Linked DNA regions of Schizosaccharomyces pombe. The protein of the gene in region 2 interacts with the protein of the main gene of each other region in a biochemical or structural test. Each region holds a gene or a part of one and is shown on either strand. Other genes may lie near its edges.

Evidence for each region. Proteins that work in one complex are often made in the same cells at the same time.
Region 1: the proteins of lkh1 (region 2) and tup12 form a complex in vitro, tested with the Schizosaccharomyces pombe proteins (one study listed by BioGRID).
Region 3: the proteins of lkh1 (region 2) and tup11 form a complex in vitro, tested with the Schizosaccharomyces pombe proteins (one study listed by BioGRID).

The regions. Positions count from the first base shown.
Region 1 is NC_003424.3:373,800-379,092, forward strand, and holds tup12 (transcriptional corepressor Tup12), read right to left. Parts: upstream 3,339-5,293; 5' UTR 3,318-3,338; coding exon 3,194-3,317; intron 3,133-3,193; coding exon 3,045-3,132; intron 2,648-3,044; coding exon 2,295-2,647; intron 2,032-2,294; coding exon 884-2,031; 3' UTR 517-883; downstream 1-516. Other genes in the region: Rheb GAP, tuberin Tsc2, read right to left, coding at 1-165; gluconate transmembrane transporter inducer Gti1, read right to left, coding at 4,393-5,293. UniProt on the Schizosaccharomyces pombe protein: Transcriptional repressor.
Region 2 is NC_003424.3:655,569-662,218, forward strand, and holds lkh1 (dual-specificity), read right to left. Parts: upstream 4,610-6,650; 5' UTR 3,265-4,609; coding exon 1,192-3,264; 3' UTR 673-1,191; downstream 1-672. Other genes in the region: 3' tRNA-processing endonuclease tRNAse Z L2 Trz1, read left to right, coding at 1-672. UniProt on the Schizosaccharomyces pombe protein: Protein kinase that may act as a negative regulator of filamentous growth and flocculation. Appears to have a role in normal cell wall and septum formation and in cell separation.
Region 3 is NC_003424.3:298,762-303,603, forward strand, and holds tup11 (transcriptional corepressor Tup11), read right to left. Parts: upstream 3,036-4,842; 5' UTR 2,951-3,035; coding exon 2,827-2,950; intron 2,760-2,826; coding exon 2,675-2,759; intron 2,651-2,674; exon of another isoform or gene 2,503-2,650; coding exon 867-2,502; 3' UTR 517-866; downstream 1-516. Other genes in the region: SPOM_SPAC18B11.11 (GTPase-activating protein), read right to left, coding at 1-25; SPOM_SPAC18B11.09C (serine O-acetyltransferase activity), read left to right, coding at 4,400-4,470, 4,573-4,842.

The DNA.
Region 1 (5,293 bases), 280 kb from region 2:
AATGATAGAAGTCGATGAATATATATAGTATTTTAAGCCATGGTAAATACTCCTTACAATCTGATGCCTTTTTTTAAAAGGAAGGTTAGCATCAAAATATGATAGAATGTCTGTATCTTTGATAGCAGGCTCACTAGAAAGATCCAAAAGTGATTTATTGTTCATCTATGTGGCCTTTATTTTTCAACGTCAATAAATTAGGACCTTCAGCAGAATAACCACATAAAGCAAATCTGAACTCTTAACTTAATGGAATATTCAAGATCATAAACTATGAGCATGGAAGTTGATTTCAAGTATTAGCTACACTGGTAGGGGTGGGGAGGAGAGCTGACAGGCTGCTATGAATTAGGGGAAGCATTACCTTATCTAAGAGGAATAGGTTGAAACGACATTAAAACTAATAAATAGAAACTTAGTATTCGACATTCAAAATTCAAAAAATATATGAAGTTATTTAACCGTAAAAACCAATTGCTAAGTAGCTAGGTCGCGCAAACATATACATAACTTGAAGGGTCTATTAAATATATACAAAAGTTGGGATTTAATAGTTAATGAAATACTATGGATAAAATCAGAGTTTCGGTTGTCGGGGATTGTATGGAAGTATCAAAAATTAAAAAAAGGGAATTGAAATGATTCAAGAATTAGCAAAAACATCTGGTCGGCTTGACTTGATAGAAAAATTCCGACCAAAATAAGCCGCAAGTTTGAAGGGTTACAAAATCGGTTATGAATTTTTATAAAATAAAGGAAAAAAGACTTGCCAAGAAGCGAGTCTCACAATGGTCAATGGGCATTATTGGCAAATGAAGAATTAAAAAATTAAGTAGGTTTCGGACATTGTCATTCAATGCTATAAATGAAACATCGCTAGTTCTTACAGATCCTCATAAGACCAAATTCTTGCTCGTAAGTCACCACTACCAGTAGCAAAGCAATGGCCATTCGGGCTAACAGCAACCGATATTACTGAGTTATTGTGTCCCTGGAGAGTTAACTGAGAATGAGGAGAATCGGGGGACCAAAATTGGATGGTTCGGTCTTTCGAGCCGCTAATAATCCATTTTCCATCCGGAGAGACAGTGACACTTAGAATAAAATCTTTATGTCCAGTAAAAGTTTGCTTGCAAATACCGCCTTCCTTATACATGCTGGGTGCAACGTTGGAGACGCATTGCAACTCCCATAACTTAATTGTGTTATCCAAACTTCCACTAACCAGGTATTTTCCGTCAGGAGAGAAGGCAACGCTGTAAACACTCTCTTCATGACCATGAAGCTGCTCTACTAAAGTTCCGGACGATGTCCAAATCCTAATTACCTTATCTAAAGAACCTGCAGCAATAAATTGACCGTCGGGAGAAAACATTACTGTAGTAACACCATCATCGGTATGCAAAATTAGTTTTTGCTCGCCAGCTTCAACATCCCAAAGACAAACAGTTCTATCTCCACTACCAGAAACCAATGTTTTTCCATCTTTGCTAAAATCAAGGGAATAAATTTCTTGCTCATGCCCAGTCAGTAGACGATAAACACGTTTTTGAGCGATGTCCCATATTCTGATTTGTTGATCTTCGACACCAGTAGCAAGGTATTTACCATCAGGACTAAATGCTACACTGCGAACATATAAATCACCTTCACGCTTCGAAGATTCCTCCTGCAGAAGCGTAATTAATTTACCGGTCTCCACATTAAAAACCATAGCTGCTCTGTTACAACCCGTAGCCAAAAATTTTCCATCGGCACTAAACCTTACATAACAAATAACGCTTGTGTGTTCCAGTGTATGAAGTAGTTGAACAGAGATCGGGGGTTCTTTGTTAGGTACATTGCTAGTGACAGTCCAATCTTTCTCCTCTCTATTAGGCACATTGGATGTCGGAATAATTTCAGCAGGATAAGGAGGATTACCTGAGACTTTTCCGTTTACAACCAAAGGAGCAGCGATAGGTGTGACGGAAGAATTAGCTGAGTCAGATGGAGGTGGAGGATGTCCGAGCGGTAAATTGGAAGGAAATGCTGTGAATGGTAAGTAAGAAAATCCAAATTAAAACGAGGAAGCAAAATAGTTTCGGCAATAGTATTTTGTTTTACAAAAAATGAACAAAAGCCGCAAGGAATTCAAACGAATTAATGACAGCATTAAAAAATTGTCTGGGAACATACGGTGTACAACATACCAGATGCAAACAATAAAGTGAAAGACAAAAAGTATCTATAAACTTGATCAAGTCAAAAAACAAATGCTGTTGCCAAAAGCTACAATGCAAGCTTGAACTTACTTCGCATAGCAGATCCAGCCATGGTTGCACCCACAGCAGGGCGTACATGAGGACTGGAATAATATTGTGAACCAAGATCTACGTTCGAGGTCTGAATAGGAGCTAAAACAGTACCATCTGAATCAATGGCAGGTGATCGAAGATTTTTAGGAGTTCCTCCAGAAGAACCGTTATTAAGTATCAAAGGTTTCGAGGAGTTGTCCGAGTTAAAAGGGCCCGCATTTCCATATTTTCCAAAAGAAACGCTATTGCGCCCGTGTTTAGTTTTCGAAGACTGTGGGACGACGCCAGAAGCAATTTCTTTGCGTCTAGCTTCCAGTTGAGCTTTTAAGGAGGTGATTTCTTCTTCGTAACTAGAGAGAGTTAGTAACAAGAAAGATAGCTTTCGAGAAAATATAATATAAAATTGAGAATAAATGTTCACATAGCAGAAGGCATGCTGGTGCTGACAAAAGTGTGAAAAGGACAGAGAATCTTCGAACAGTGATAAACATCCAAATACTGAGTAAAAAACGAAATACCCTTCATCGGAGTAAAAATATGAAAAGATTACTTAATAGAATTTACTCCCATCAAAGGAGCCACCATTATTTAGCATCTTTAAAGATTTATCGTCAACGACCGTAAATTGTATAAATATTTAGAGAGGAATCGCTTTTGTAAGACTCTACAACACTCACAATAATTGCATAACCTTGTACTAATATAACAAACCTTCTCGCCAAGCGTGTATTAGGAAAATTGACATACCGATCCTTCACTTTAGACTGCTGCATCTCCAAATCCATAACGGTTTGTTTCATGAGCGCCATTTCATTAATTTGTGCAGATATCATTGCTAATTTAAGAAGTGTTAGATTTGTACCGCAAATTTGTCAGCAAATTCTTGTATAAGATACCTTTATATTCAAAATCATCCTTTTGAGCTTCAACGGTTTTAGTTTTTTGACAAATATCTTCAAATTCCTTTTTAACCGCTTCTAAAAGCTCATTTACACGTGATGATACATTGGACGTCGCCATAAATTGAAACTTGAAGATGGTAAAAGTGAATTGGCGGACAGTAATCATGAATGATGTTGTTTGAGAAATAACGAGAAATAACATTCGTTAATTTCGGTAAAACCTTCTCGGCTTCGAAGCTAAAGTAAGCAAACTATGTTGAGATTAACATGTCAGGAAAGACAATTTCACTTATGCTTAGCGAGACAATATTGTTGAATTAGTAATTTGGCTGTTCATTCAACTTGCCGCAGTTGGAAAATGTAAAATCATTAATTTGTGATGAAACCTCGTAAAACATATTTTTTAACGTTAATCGATTGAAACCCTTTTTGAATTAGTTCGTGAAATATCTTAACTCTAAAACCTTGAAAATCTTTAGATAGAAGATCCTTTTTTTTTTTTTTTGGGAAGAATATGAAGCGTTTTGATACAATTGGTAATAAAACATTATTTGGTATTGGTTTTTATTGGAAGTTTAGTTTTACAAAAGTGTAGATGTCATAATCCTAATATGAATTCTTAAAGTCAATCAAGAAAACTATTTTATGGGTATTTTGAAACAAACTTACTTTAAGGATGAATTCCATAGAAGTTAACGTAATTTAATTTCATCTTGATAGTGAATAACTTTGAAAACACTATATGCTATTTCCAGAAACTAGTCTCGAATTTTCATACGCCATAGACGGCCTGCTCCTCAGCCCATTGACTTAATTTACTATGATACACTTCCTAGATTTATTGAAAGGGTTTGTTTGCTTGGCATAAATATTCATTTAGTATGCTACTCGCAAAAACTTCAATTTTAAAGCCGCTTTGAAGAATAAGTTATTGCTGGTGGAAAAAGCTATCCTAGAGCATCTGAAAACTACCACTAACATGAACAGAATGTAAAGCAAATAGTACAAAAACAGATATTGAGCTGTGCAGTAAACACATAAAAAAAACATTACTTGAATGGAATGTTTTTACTTATATATGGCACATATAACAAGAGTTGGATAAAAGGATTAATACATAACGTTAAGACATTTAAAAAAAAAAAAGAAAAAAAACCTCACAAAACTTAATATTCGTAAGAATTTTTTTGTAATCATGACAAGGAGCCGCGTTCTTTTGAAAGTGGTTCAGTAAAAAGCATCGTTTGGTTGTTAATGGGATAAGGATTCGTACGTGCCGAAATTCGATTGTGATTTCCATTTAATGAAGAATAATGACAGAATCGATTTCCCGAAGTACGCATTGGTAAAGAAGCAGATGAAGGTATGATAGGAACAGATCCTCGACGCATATTCGAGAGTGGAGGAATTGGAACCTTGGGTAAACGACCACCAGAAGCGTGGTTTTCAGCAGCTAAAGGATTTTTACCTTTCGCAGTGGCGGCATAGTGGTCATAATGACCTCCATGCGGAGTCGACATAGCGGAATAAGCGCTTGACTGAATGGCATTGCCCATACTCTCCATTGACACGGCCTGTTGAGCATAAAGCGGGTTTTGAGAGGCCAGTTCTGAGTTTGAATTAGTTACATGATAACCCATATTCTGGTTCCAAGAGGTGGATAAGTTTTTTGGGATAGAATTGGAAATAAAAGAGTAATTTTCATTGACATCGGGTTGCGTGTCAGACGTTAAAAATTGTTTGGAAGCAGCAAGAGACATGTTATAGGAAGATTGGTCAATTGAATCAGTGTTAGAAGACGGCTGTTTTGGCTGCAAATACTGTGATTTTTGGTCGACATAAGGACCTTCTCCGTAATCGAACAGAGCTTGAGATGGTGATGTGAATTGAATTAAATTCAAATTAACAAATGAATTATTAGCATTGGGATTCACAGGGTTAAAGGCTAATCCGGATGGATTATAAACATCATTCATATACTGTGGAAGAGTCTGTAAAAAGTTTGGGTAGGAATGACGAGCAGCCATCTTTATCGGAGGCTGCTCAATATTTTCATTTAAGGCATTGTTTGAAATTGACTGCAAAGCCGAAAAT
Region 2 (6,650 bases):
TTAAAGGCTTGGACGAAGTACTCAGATGGCAGATCAAAGTTGTTTATAACAGCACCTCCACAATTTGAATTTTGGCTACTAGAATACTCAAGGATTGATTATCTACCATTATCCAACATCGTATTTATTTCCAATAGTGCTTTACGTACTGACAGGAAGCCGTCTGCTTTGGAATCCTCTAGGTTGTCTTCTTTATTTAAAGAATTTGATTTAGTATCTTTTCGAACGGTTCCTGCCATACACTGCCCGTATTCATATTGCATGGAGATTACTAATTCCAGTGGTTGGAAGATCGCATACTCTGGAGATACTCGACCTTCTGAGGATTTTGCTAACATTGCCAAAGACTCAACTTTATTAATTCACGAAGCTACTTTGGAAGACTCTATGCACGAAATTGCAATAAAAAAGCAACACAGTACTTACTCTGAAGCTTTAGAAGTGGCCAAAAAAGCTGGTACAAAAAACGTTATTTTGACTCATTTTAGCCAACGATATCCCAAATTACCAGACATTGATATTTCGACAGAAGACTTACATATAGCTTTGGCGTTTGATGGAATGACTCTTAAAATATCGGATATCTCATTGTTTCGTTATTTTGGAAAGCCTCTGGCTTATCTATTTAATGAGGAAAATTTAAAAGAGGAGTCGGATCCTTTAAAGTTCTAACTACTTGAGCTATTGTCTCATATTATATAAATTGGGTCTCAGGCAAGTGATCTCTGTTGTTTAATGAAATGGGCAAACCTTTTCTTCATTATACAATTATGTTCATAACAAAATACTTCAGACTTCAAAAAAATTGTCAAGGTAATCCGTATCTATTAAAATAGTCCTGAAAACCATTAATGATCTTTTTTTCTTTTATTTCACTGAGTAACTACTATTTAACCCAAGGACCAAAATTTACGAGTGTAATTGACGACTTAATCAAACCTTTATGGAATAATCTAAAAAGAGGACAATTTTGAGTTTTAATTTATATCGGATAACCAAGTACTCTATGCAATTAAAGTAATTGTAGAACATGCGAGTTTTCGTCTAAGAAACTGAATAATAACAAACGAATAAACATCAGCTAAAGCGTAACACAAACCAGAAATACGAGACTTCCGTAGATTTGTAAATTAGAAAGAGTGAAAATTATTGAAAAACATGAAGTAAATTATAAATCTCTAAGTTTATCCATCACAAATTTGAAGAAATTGGTTGGGTGAAAAAGGGATGCCAAAGGGCCTCTTTTGCAGTTATTCGCCGCTTAGGATCGTAAACGAATACTTTTTTCAATAAATCAAGCAGCAAAGCCACTTCTGGAGATGATACTGCAAATATTTGCTCTAGCGTTTGCAGAGATTGAAGATAATTAATGCTTTTTTTAGGCGTATTTGACAAAGGATAACGGACTTTTCCGTCAGATTTAAAAAAACGTTGCGATGTACGAGAGGAACGCGAAATCATATTCCTATCAAAGGGACCCAGGATTTTTTCCATCATGCACAGATGCTCACTATCTTCATGGGTTTGAAACAAGGCTTGTCCCGTGAATAACTCAACTAAAATACATCCAATACTCCAAACATCGCAAGGATAAGACCAACCCAACCCTAAAATAATCTCTGGAGCACGATAATGACGAGTACTCACTACACTGGAATGGTATTCATCTTCAAATGTTGCACTACCAAAGTCGATAAGCCGGATTTCACAACTATTAAGGACTTTCTGTGAATAATTCCGATAAGGTAATCGAATAGTTCTTGAGGCATTAGATACCAGAAGAACATTTTCGGGTTTAAGATCGGTATGTACTAGTCCCAAAGAGTGAAGAAACGCAACACTTTTAAAAAGTTGTTGGGATAGCATCTGAATATGCTTCAAAGGGAAAGGAATGTAGTTGTTATTCTTTAAAAAATCAAAGACACTCCAGCCAAAAAGATCAGTCACAATGCAGATGTGCTTGCGGTAATCGAAATAATCGCGTAACTGAATGCACTTATTTTCATTTGTCGGATCACTATGAGCTATAGTTTGTAAAACTCTTAATTCAATGAGACTAGCTTCTCTGTACTTTGGAATTGCTCGAGTCACCTTGATAGCACAATGTCTACCTGTACTTTGATCGTAACACTGGATAACTTTGCCAAAAGTACCGTGCCCAAGCAAACGAACAACTGTATAACGGTTGGCAAATTTGGAGTTAGGTACAACCTTGTAATGACCGTCATCATCATCAAAAGTTGATGGATCAAAAGCGGTAGTATCATGCACAACAGGAACATTTACGCGGTCGACTTTTTTATATGGGGGCCATGCAGCTCGCTTCCTTTTCTTCGGAGGTCGATAATCGGAAATAGATACAGGAGTGATAACTTGATTGGCATTAGAAGCCGGTTGATAAACGTTTGCAGAAGGAGGTTGGAAAGTTGGTTGAGTCATCGGAAGCCATACGGCCAGCGTTGGAGATAATGGTACAGCGGTATGATTGTTAATGGAACTTGGGGTGACGGAATAATTTACACTTTTATGTTGAGACGATTGCGAGGAAGGAGCGATAGCAGTAGCCGGAGCTAGCTGAGGAGGGTTAGAAGGACAATACGTTGCAGGACATAGTGGGGGAGGATAAGAGGTTGGAGACGAGTAAGGATGATTATGGATGGGATGTGGAAGCCTGTTCGGATGGACTTGGAGCTTTGGTAAATTAGGGATCACTGGAGGTTTAGAAATTGGTTGGTGAGGTAAATTAGGAGAGGGAAGCGAAACCGGGTACCAGTGTGAAGGAACTTGAGGGACAGGAGGCGGCCGTAAAACAGGTTGACATGAAACAGGTAGTGGATTATGAAGGGGAGGATGATGTGAATGGGGAAATGGCGATTGATTATTTGAACACGCATGATACGATGTAGGAGACTGAACCATATATGAAGGATGGCTGGCGACATCATGCGGTAATGGAACGACGCCATTAGCATCCAACCATGGATCATAGGATTGAGGAAGAGATACCGAGTTAGTTGATGGATAAACAGCATTCGCACCATTGATAGGGACTGCCACAGTGCCAGTGGTAGAGGGTGATGATGATGAGGGAGGTTGCGGAGGTACGAAGGATTGTAATTGATGAACAGAAAAAGGAGGCGGTAAATTAGGGGTAAGCCGTGGAGAAGCTGAGTCCTCTATAACAATGACTTCTTGTGGAACACCATTTTTATAAAAGTCCTGCCAATCAGGCGCATGATTTCTACGACGTTTTAAGGAATGCATTTTACAATAAAAAGATTCCGTCTAAGTCATGCGAGCAAATTGGTAAAGTGAAGAGGTAGAAGACGTCGAAACCTGAAAAAAGGGATAAGTATCTTTTAGAATTATGCAAAACCAGAAGCAAAAATGATGAAAAGAGATACCAACCACCGAAAATAAGTGTTTCTCAAACAATAATAAGGGGAAAAGTTTCCTTGTTCGAAGTCACCAAGCGACAAAAGCAATAAAAAACCTTTTTTTTCGACTCGTCGAAGGGTAAGAACAAAATAGAAAGGCGGAATTTAAAAAATAAAAATAAAAAATGGACGAATTAAAGCAATAGAACTGAACTGACAAGCATTCGACAATTGGTGTTGGACCAGAACAGCTAGTTCATCAAGAAGCAGAGAATGGGAGGAAGAATGAGCAATCAAGTTAACTGGTACACCTACTTCGAAAGAGTTTCAAAATTTGAATGCAATCACGAAGAAAGAAGTTAAAATTCTCGACGTTGTAAAATTGCAAGGCCGTCGATCAAACGATAAATCAGCAAAGAAGCGGAAAACAGTGAGAAAGTGAACTTGAAATATATTTATCAAACCAAATGGTTTCTTATATCAGGGAGAAGAAAGCCGTTTTCTCAGAATAAAGACAATTGACGACAACCACTAAACCCCTTTCTCAATCAAATGTAGGGTGCAACAGTAAAGAGAAACAGCAAATGCAAAAAGGTATCGGAGAGAAATAAATATCTACAATACCGGAGAATAAGTATGCCGAACACGGAGGGTCTGTAAAGGCAAATCAAACACGAAAAAACGATAAACACCAAACCTTCAATCAACAACTAGCGGAAACCTTTGTATCAATCGTATTGCTTTAAAGTAATGATGTTCCAAGGCAATATTGTACCATGAGACAATGATGAGGTTTTTGTGTTTGAGGGGGTGCGATTGCGCTACTACCAAAATTGATCAATGTCCAAATCAGGCGGATTAGTAATTTGGATAAAACAAAAGTATAAATAACCCCCAAAAGAATCGGCAATTACCAGGGCAGTTTTCAAAAGCACACAAAGTCGACGACAAGCGATGTAGCTGTAGTACGAAAGTCTACCTAACAAAATGGTAGATCGTAGATGGAGAAAAGCAAGTAGTGAGTGTAGTAAATTGAAGAATGAAGTATATACGACTCTTAATAAGCAATTTTCTTTTTCTTTCCTTCAATCCCACAGAATGTAATTCCAATGGGGGGGGGGTAAAACAACAAAGCAATGTCCTAATAATACAACTGCTAAGAAAACTAGTAATTGAGGATAGAAAGGATAAAAGAAAAAGCCTCAAGCCAATTCGAGGGATGTGGAGAAAGTAAAAAGGAATTAGCAAGAGTTTGGATAATAATAAGTTGCGTTTTCTTTGGTAAAGCCACTTAGAAAAGGTGAAATTTGCATGAGATAATCATGTTTGTGAGACCGGAACAACATCATTGTTATTCTATCCTTAAAATAAAATAGCTGGAAAAAATTGGCCGGACGAGGGAACAACCCAACAATCACCATCCAGGCGCGTTGCGTTTGGCACCTCCTTCCTATGAAAAAGTATACACATTCCACAACACCATGTGCGCAGTATGCAACGTACCTAGCCGTCACCCAACTATAGCGTAAGAGACGCTTGCTACTCTGAAGGGCTGAGATCTACGAAAACCGCCATGGCCGTAGAGGCAGAGGCGCTGAATGAATTTTCATTAATTTAGATCACTAATCATTTACCATTCAAATGCCGCTCCATTCAACTCAACCATATTCACTTAAGGAGTTTTCGTAAGAAATGGCTTATCATTGTCATCATACCATTCAAACATCAATACACACCACACATACACACACACACAAATGTACACAAGCATGCACACTCATACACATATATAAACGCATGTTTACATAAATAGTTATAAAATTTACATATAGTTTTACGCATAAATAATGCAACTGTCATTCTCACCATCTCTATCCAACTCTACCTACCATGTACTATATACTGTATTATACAATGAATGCTATATGCCCGCTTATACTGTAGCTGCCTTGTCGCCCGCCCCATTTGTCCATGGTATAGTATTCCGCACAATTCTTTACCAGAATAGAAATGAAATATAGAAAACATGCCTTTTCAGAAGCGTTTCTCACACTTTCAACAAATGTCGTCCAGCCCATCTGCCAAATTCTCTTACCAAACTAGTCTTGATTATGGCCATCCGTCCTCGGTAATCGAATATTTCGTCCAAACAGCGACGCTTGGCCATCAAAAAATTTAGTGGATGACAATAATCTATGTAACAAATAATACGATAAAATTGCCATGATGAGTAACAAAACAACAAAGGCAATAATTCATCAACTATTGAATAATCATTTAATGGTCGCGAAAAGGAAACAAATATAATTTTCTACAATCAATCATCTACAATGACTGATGTTAGAGCTTGAAAACGGGATGTGAAAAATTCAATCAACATGACTTCAAATGGGGTGAGAAATTGTAATTAAGCAAAGGAAAAAAATAGGCAACAAGGCATGGTTGTAGCTGCAATTAAGGGACTAATGTGTCGTGAAACTCAAAAATGTAAAAAAAAGAATGACAATCCCCTTGCATAATTGAATTACCCGTTGAAATTTTTGGGAAATCCGGTTACTGCAGACGGAAGTTGAAAGTCAACTTTATCTCGGTTCTTTTTTTCCTTTTTTTTTTTTTTTGCAACTTCCTTACCGGCACGCAAGGTCCGTCGCACTTCTGGACCAGGAGTAAACTGCTTACTTATTGAAAGAACAAAGAAAATTTTAACCTTTCTTTAAATACGCTTTCTTTTCTTTTTCTTTTTTCAGGCTATTTTTTTGCTCCTCCCGTCATCCCTAATAGCTAGTCGGCTTTAACGATTATTATTTTAGGAGATGCTAAAGTGCAGATTGACGGTCTTGTTCGTAATTTGCAATCAGTCTATGTCATGATCCCTGACCTCAGTACAGTGGAAGCTGTCTGGCTGGCAAGGGTAAAGGCTAGTAAGTACTATCAATTATGTATGTCAGTTGTGGATGGGGAATTATTATTGAGACTTTTTACAAAGTGTCAAGCTCGAGATTTGGCCATTACATGTCGGTAAAGCAGCTGAACAGCGATATGCCGTTCATAAAAAAGCGTCAGCACAAGTGAAATCAAGTGTCATGACATGAAAGTCTAATCGGTTATTTGCAACATTAACCGAAACTTGTAGAAAATGCGCTCTTTGGCAGTTGAAAAACGCAGACATTACAGATGCTATAAATACATAGTATTAAAAACATAATAACAAATAACAATAACATGTTAATTAATCTTGCTATACATAGTAACATCTATAAAACGCAGTGTAAA
Region 3 (4,842 bases), 360 kb from region 2:
TCGTGTCTATATCCAAAGCCTTCATAGCTTAGATATAAATCGATGCAGCAAACAACGACAATTTTTCTTTAACCCAAACGTAATATAGGTCCTGGGTTGGCACCGATTTAAGTATTAAGATTTTAAATATATTTAAAAAGTGCTAAATTAAAGATTTAATGAAGTAAACCCAAATTATAGACTGCTTAAGCCGTGGAGGATTATTATAAACTCCTGAAAAGATAGCCTTAAGAAACGTGCAGATATCGAACTGTAACGGATTGTAAAAGCACACCTCAATATAGCATCGATTAGGATTTATTCAATTTCTATGTTTTAGTCAATAAAATCGAAACAATGAGTCTTCTTCGCGTTGAAGAAGTCAGAAGATGGTTAATACATACATAATTTTAGCGAGTATATGATAAATCTGTTGGTGAATTTCGGAGTCAAGGTGGAGATATGCAAATTACTAAATACAAGAATAACCATTTAAAAAATGTTTAATCAACCACATGTATTTCAAGAATCTACATTGAAAAGTATTAAGTATTATCTCAAGTTATGCAACATTTATCATAGAACTAAAATTAAAAATTAAGGAATTTTTTATTAATTGTTTATTTTTTAAATAAAAAGTGTCTCAGTTAATTTATGAGAGAAGCCATTCTCCAAAATTAGTGACATTAAAAAACTGAGTGATGATTTGTCTATTGTGACCGTAAGTAAAGGAAATAATATTGCAAAAAAAATATGATACAAATTAAGGAAATATACCAGTGTAGTAATAGAGTTTACAAAATTTAGTTTGTAAACTTTGTAACCAAAAATCAATGCGGTTAACTATTTCCGAGAGCAAATAGTTATATGTAAACAGGAACAAAAATTCAAGGAGATGCAGGGTCAATTGACCATATGCGAGCACGTAAATCACCACTTCCCGAAGCAAATTGCCTACCATCTGGGCTAAAGCATACGGAAATAACTGAATTCTTGTGTCCTTGACAAGTGAGATAAGATTGGCCTGTTTGCAAATCCCAGAATTGCATACTTCTATCCTTCGATCCGCTTAATCCCCAACGGCTGTCGGGTGAAACAGCTACTGAAAGAACAAAATCAGTATGTCCTGTATAGGTGGCTTTGCAAATACCTTCAGGCTTAATAGCTGAAAGGCCAACTGAACGAGTTGCTTGTAATTCCCAGACTTTGATAGTCTTATCAAGACTTCCACTAAGAAGAATGCTGCTGTCGGGCGAAAAGGCAATAGAATAAACACTCTCCTTATGACCTTCCAATCGTTCAACCAAAGTACCCGACACAGACCATACTCGAATTATCTGATCTAGACTACCAACTGCAATGAATTGATCATTTGGAGAGATGGCTATTGCCGTCACACCATTCTCAATTTCTAACTTTAAAATACATTGACCTGTCTCCACATCCCAGAGTCGTGCAGTTCGATCGCCACTACCAGAGACGATGAATCGCCCATTATGGCTAAAATCTAAGGAATAGATATCTTGTTCATGACCTGAAAATACGTAACGAACTTTTTGAGTTGAGAGATCCCAGAGTTTTATTTGACGATCTTCTGTTCCCGTGACTAAATACTTACCATCAGGGCTGAAAGCAATGGTTCTCACATACAAATCACGGGAAGGATCAGGTGATTCTTCATGCAAAGTAAAAAGTTTTTTGCCAGTCTGAACATCAAAGACATTAGCGGCCTGGTTACAGCCAGTTGCTAAATACTTGCCATTGTTACTAAACTTAACGCAGCAAACAACACTGGGATGCTCTAGTGTGTGCACGAGATTAATATTAAAAACCCTTTTGCATGCTGGGTTATAAGTGACGTACCAACTCTGAGAAGTTGTCTTTCTAGCAGCTTCTGTATCTGAAACTGGAGCAATCTGTTCTCTTCCCTGATATTCTCCATCAGGACCCGCTTGGGATATAGAACCAGCATTCGCAGAAGCAGTCATAGAAGGTTCAGCCGAAGGAGTTGCTTTGGTAGGAATACGCGGTGGCTGGACATTCACAGCAGGTTTTGAAGTAGCACTTGGATTATAATAATTGGAAACACCAGGCAATTGAGGATTTGGTTGTTGAGAAACCTGATTTGCTCCGTAATTAACAGGAGGGATATATAAAGGTGTAGTACTAGGTAAATTGGATGTAGATATCGCGGGATTTTGAGAAGCAATTCCCTGATTAAAATTTTGCCCGCTAGAAGCCTCTACTGAAGGAGGAATTGGAGGCATCAATACTTCAGCAACATTATTTTGAGGATAAGCTGATTGGTGAATTGGAGGGATTTGCTGAAAGGCAGGTAGATGGTTACTTGGAGGCTGAGAAGTAGATTTGGTTTGAGAGGGATGTTCCTGATCAATATGGGTAACTTGATTATTAGAAGCGGCAAGTTCAGATCTTTCTCCACGATTTCTATAACTTGCGGTATTCGCTTCGACACCTAATTCTTCAAGCTCTCGCTTCAACTTGTTGATATCTTTTTCGTACCTATAAATGTTAGTAAATTGGTGAAGACAGATGTTATAAAGGTTTTTTTTTTTTTACTTCAAGCATATAAATCTCGAGCGACACGTATGCTATTATAAAATAATGATGAATTTCACAGAAAAGAAGTAGATACTATATAATCCCTCGATACCTTTAACATATAAAAACTTACGTTTCTCTAATAGATTTTTGTTTTTCATACATATCATCCACGGTTTTTCGGAACGCTTCAATTTCTTGAATTTGAGATTGTATCACTGCAATAGAACAGAATGTTAGTTTCCAAAAAATAGCTAATTTAATTTATTTTATTCAAACACGTACTAGAAGATTCATAGTCGTTTCCGCGCGCCTTGGACGCGAAGCTATGATGAGCCAAAGCATTGTATTCAGCCTTCAACGCATCCAGCATTTCTTGAACTTTCGTGGCATCCTCCACTGACGCCATTTTTTTTTTCAGTCAGACTTATTGCAAAAACTGAATCCGATTGATATACGCCCTTTTACAACAATAGCAACACTTGAATTGTGGTACAAGAATAAACTTGTGTTCTTGAACGTTTGTAGCAGCACTTTTATCGAGCGGCTCCTTGTGCTGCGCTAATCTTTAAATAGAGAATGTGGTGCTACATATTTTTGGTTGAGCAAGTATCACAAAATTAGTATGGCGTGTGTGTTGGCAACTTGTCCCAATTATTTTGAAATTCATTTGAATTATAGAGAAAAGCAATTCGAAACCCTTTACTGTTTGATTTTTTGTAGCGTTTATATTATTTTTTTGAATATAGATTTTCTTGCTTTTCAGTTGATGTTTGTTATAAAAAAATAGTTATAACTTTGAAACGTAGTGTAATTCATTTTTTTTTTATTGATGGAAAAATTTGTTAACCGTTTTTATATATCAATATAAAAAAATTAAAATTTGTGTTTAATCAATTTATTATCTGATCCTTGTTTAATTAGATTGTTTACCGACCTTTGTAAGACATTATTACAGTGAGTTTTATCTTGATAAGTATTAATTAAAAGTTATGATAGTATTTAACCCGTAAATTCACATTTCATTTGCTAATGACTCAGTTAATCATAAGTGACATTATTTGTTTAATGATGCGAAATTTGACGCACTTTACTGATATTAAAACATTGTTGGTTGTCTTAAAGATGCTTTTTTCATATAATCTAGTTATCATGAAGAAGGATGAAAAAATCCCATAGTTGAAATTTATTAACACTAAAGCAAAATGTTTAAGCGCAGCAAACCGAAGCCGTCAGAAATTGAGCATTTAATCTGACACGATATGCCATTTACACTTCAAGGGCGATTAATAAATACACTTTGGATTTATTTTTAAATCATATTTATTGCTTATTTACTTATCAATTTTTGTTTGATGTACTATTTAAGTTGTTTTGAATTTTTTTTTTATATGACATTAGTTTGGGATTACTACCCAGTTTAATCAGTTTAATGATACAGGAGGAAAGCAAGATTAAAAAAGGGACGGACAACGTTCATTGCATATCTTGTTATTGCTTGTCAGTTTACGGCCCTCAGCGTTTGTTAAGCTACACTAACTATTTACTTGTAACTTGATAAATTTTGGTATGCTGGTGGTAATACGAGTAGGGGCCAGACATAAAGCAATGCGACAATTAATGATATGTTGCATAGTGGGGCATAATGTAGTGTAACAGCTGACGCTATATATCATCGAGATGTTTTTACTTACGTTTTACAAACTATTTCACTAAAAAGTTTCCGTATAGTTTTATCAGCAATTTGTTAATATTGATATCAATACATATATATATATATATATAAGTCTATTTATACATCGATAACTCTACTAGTCCCATTGTCAATGCTAGTGAATATACTTGTTTTCCGACAGAAATGACTCGTACTCGTGTACAAAAAATGATACCGAAAACCATTGAATACCAAAAAATGATATCTGGTCAACCGTAAGGCTAATGCTTAAAACTTGTCGAGCTAATATATCATCTTCGTTGACATGTTTGAAGTCACATTGAACGCAGGGAGATATTCTAATTACTAAATAACAGGTACAAGGCTTACGACGAGGAGTTGACTCAAGCGAGATGTAATGCTAAAAAATTAATGCGAAGGTTTAATGACACTATGGGAGATTTGGAAAATGTAGGCCCAGCAGAATTGATTAAAAGACGAGCTGAACTGTTGGCTGAAGTTTTTGTATTTGACGAATCTTCAGCACCAGAGATTGAGCCACCTATGGCTTTTGATTACGGATTTAACGTTCATTTTGGAAAAAAATTCTTTGCAAATTATAATTGTACATTTCTAGATGTTGCCAT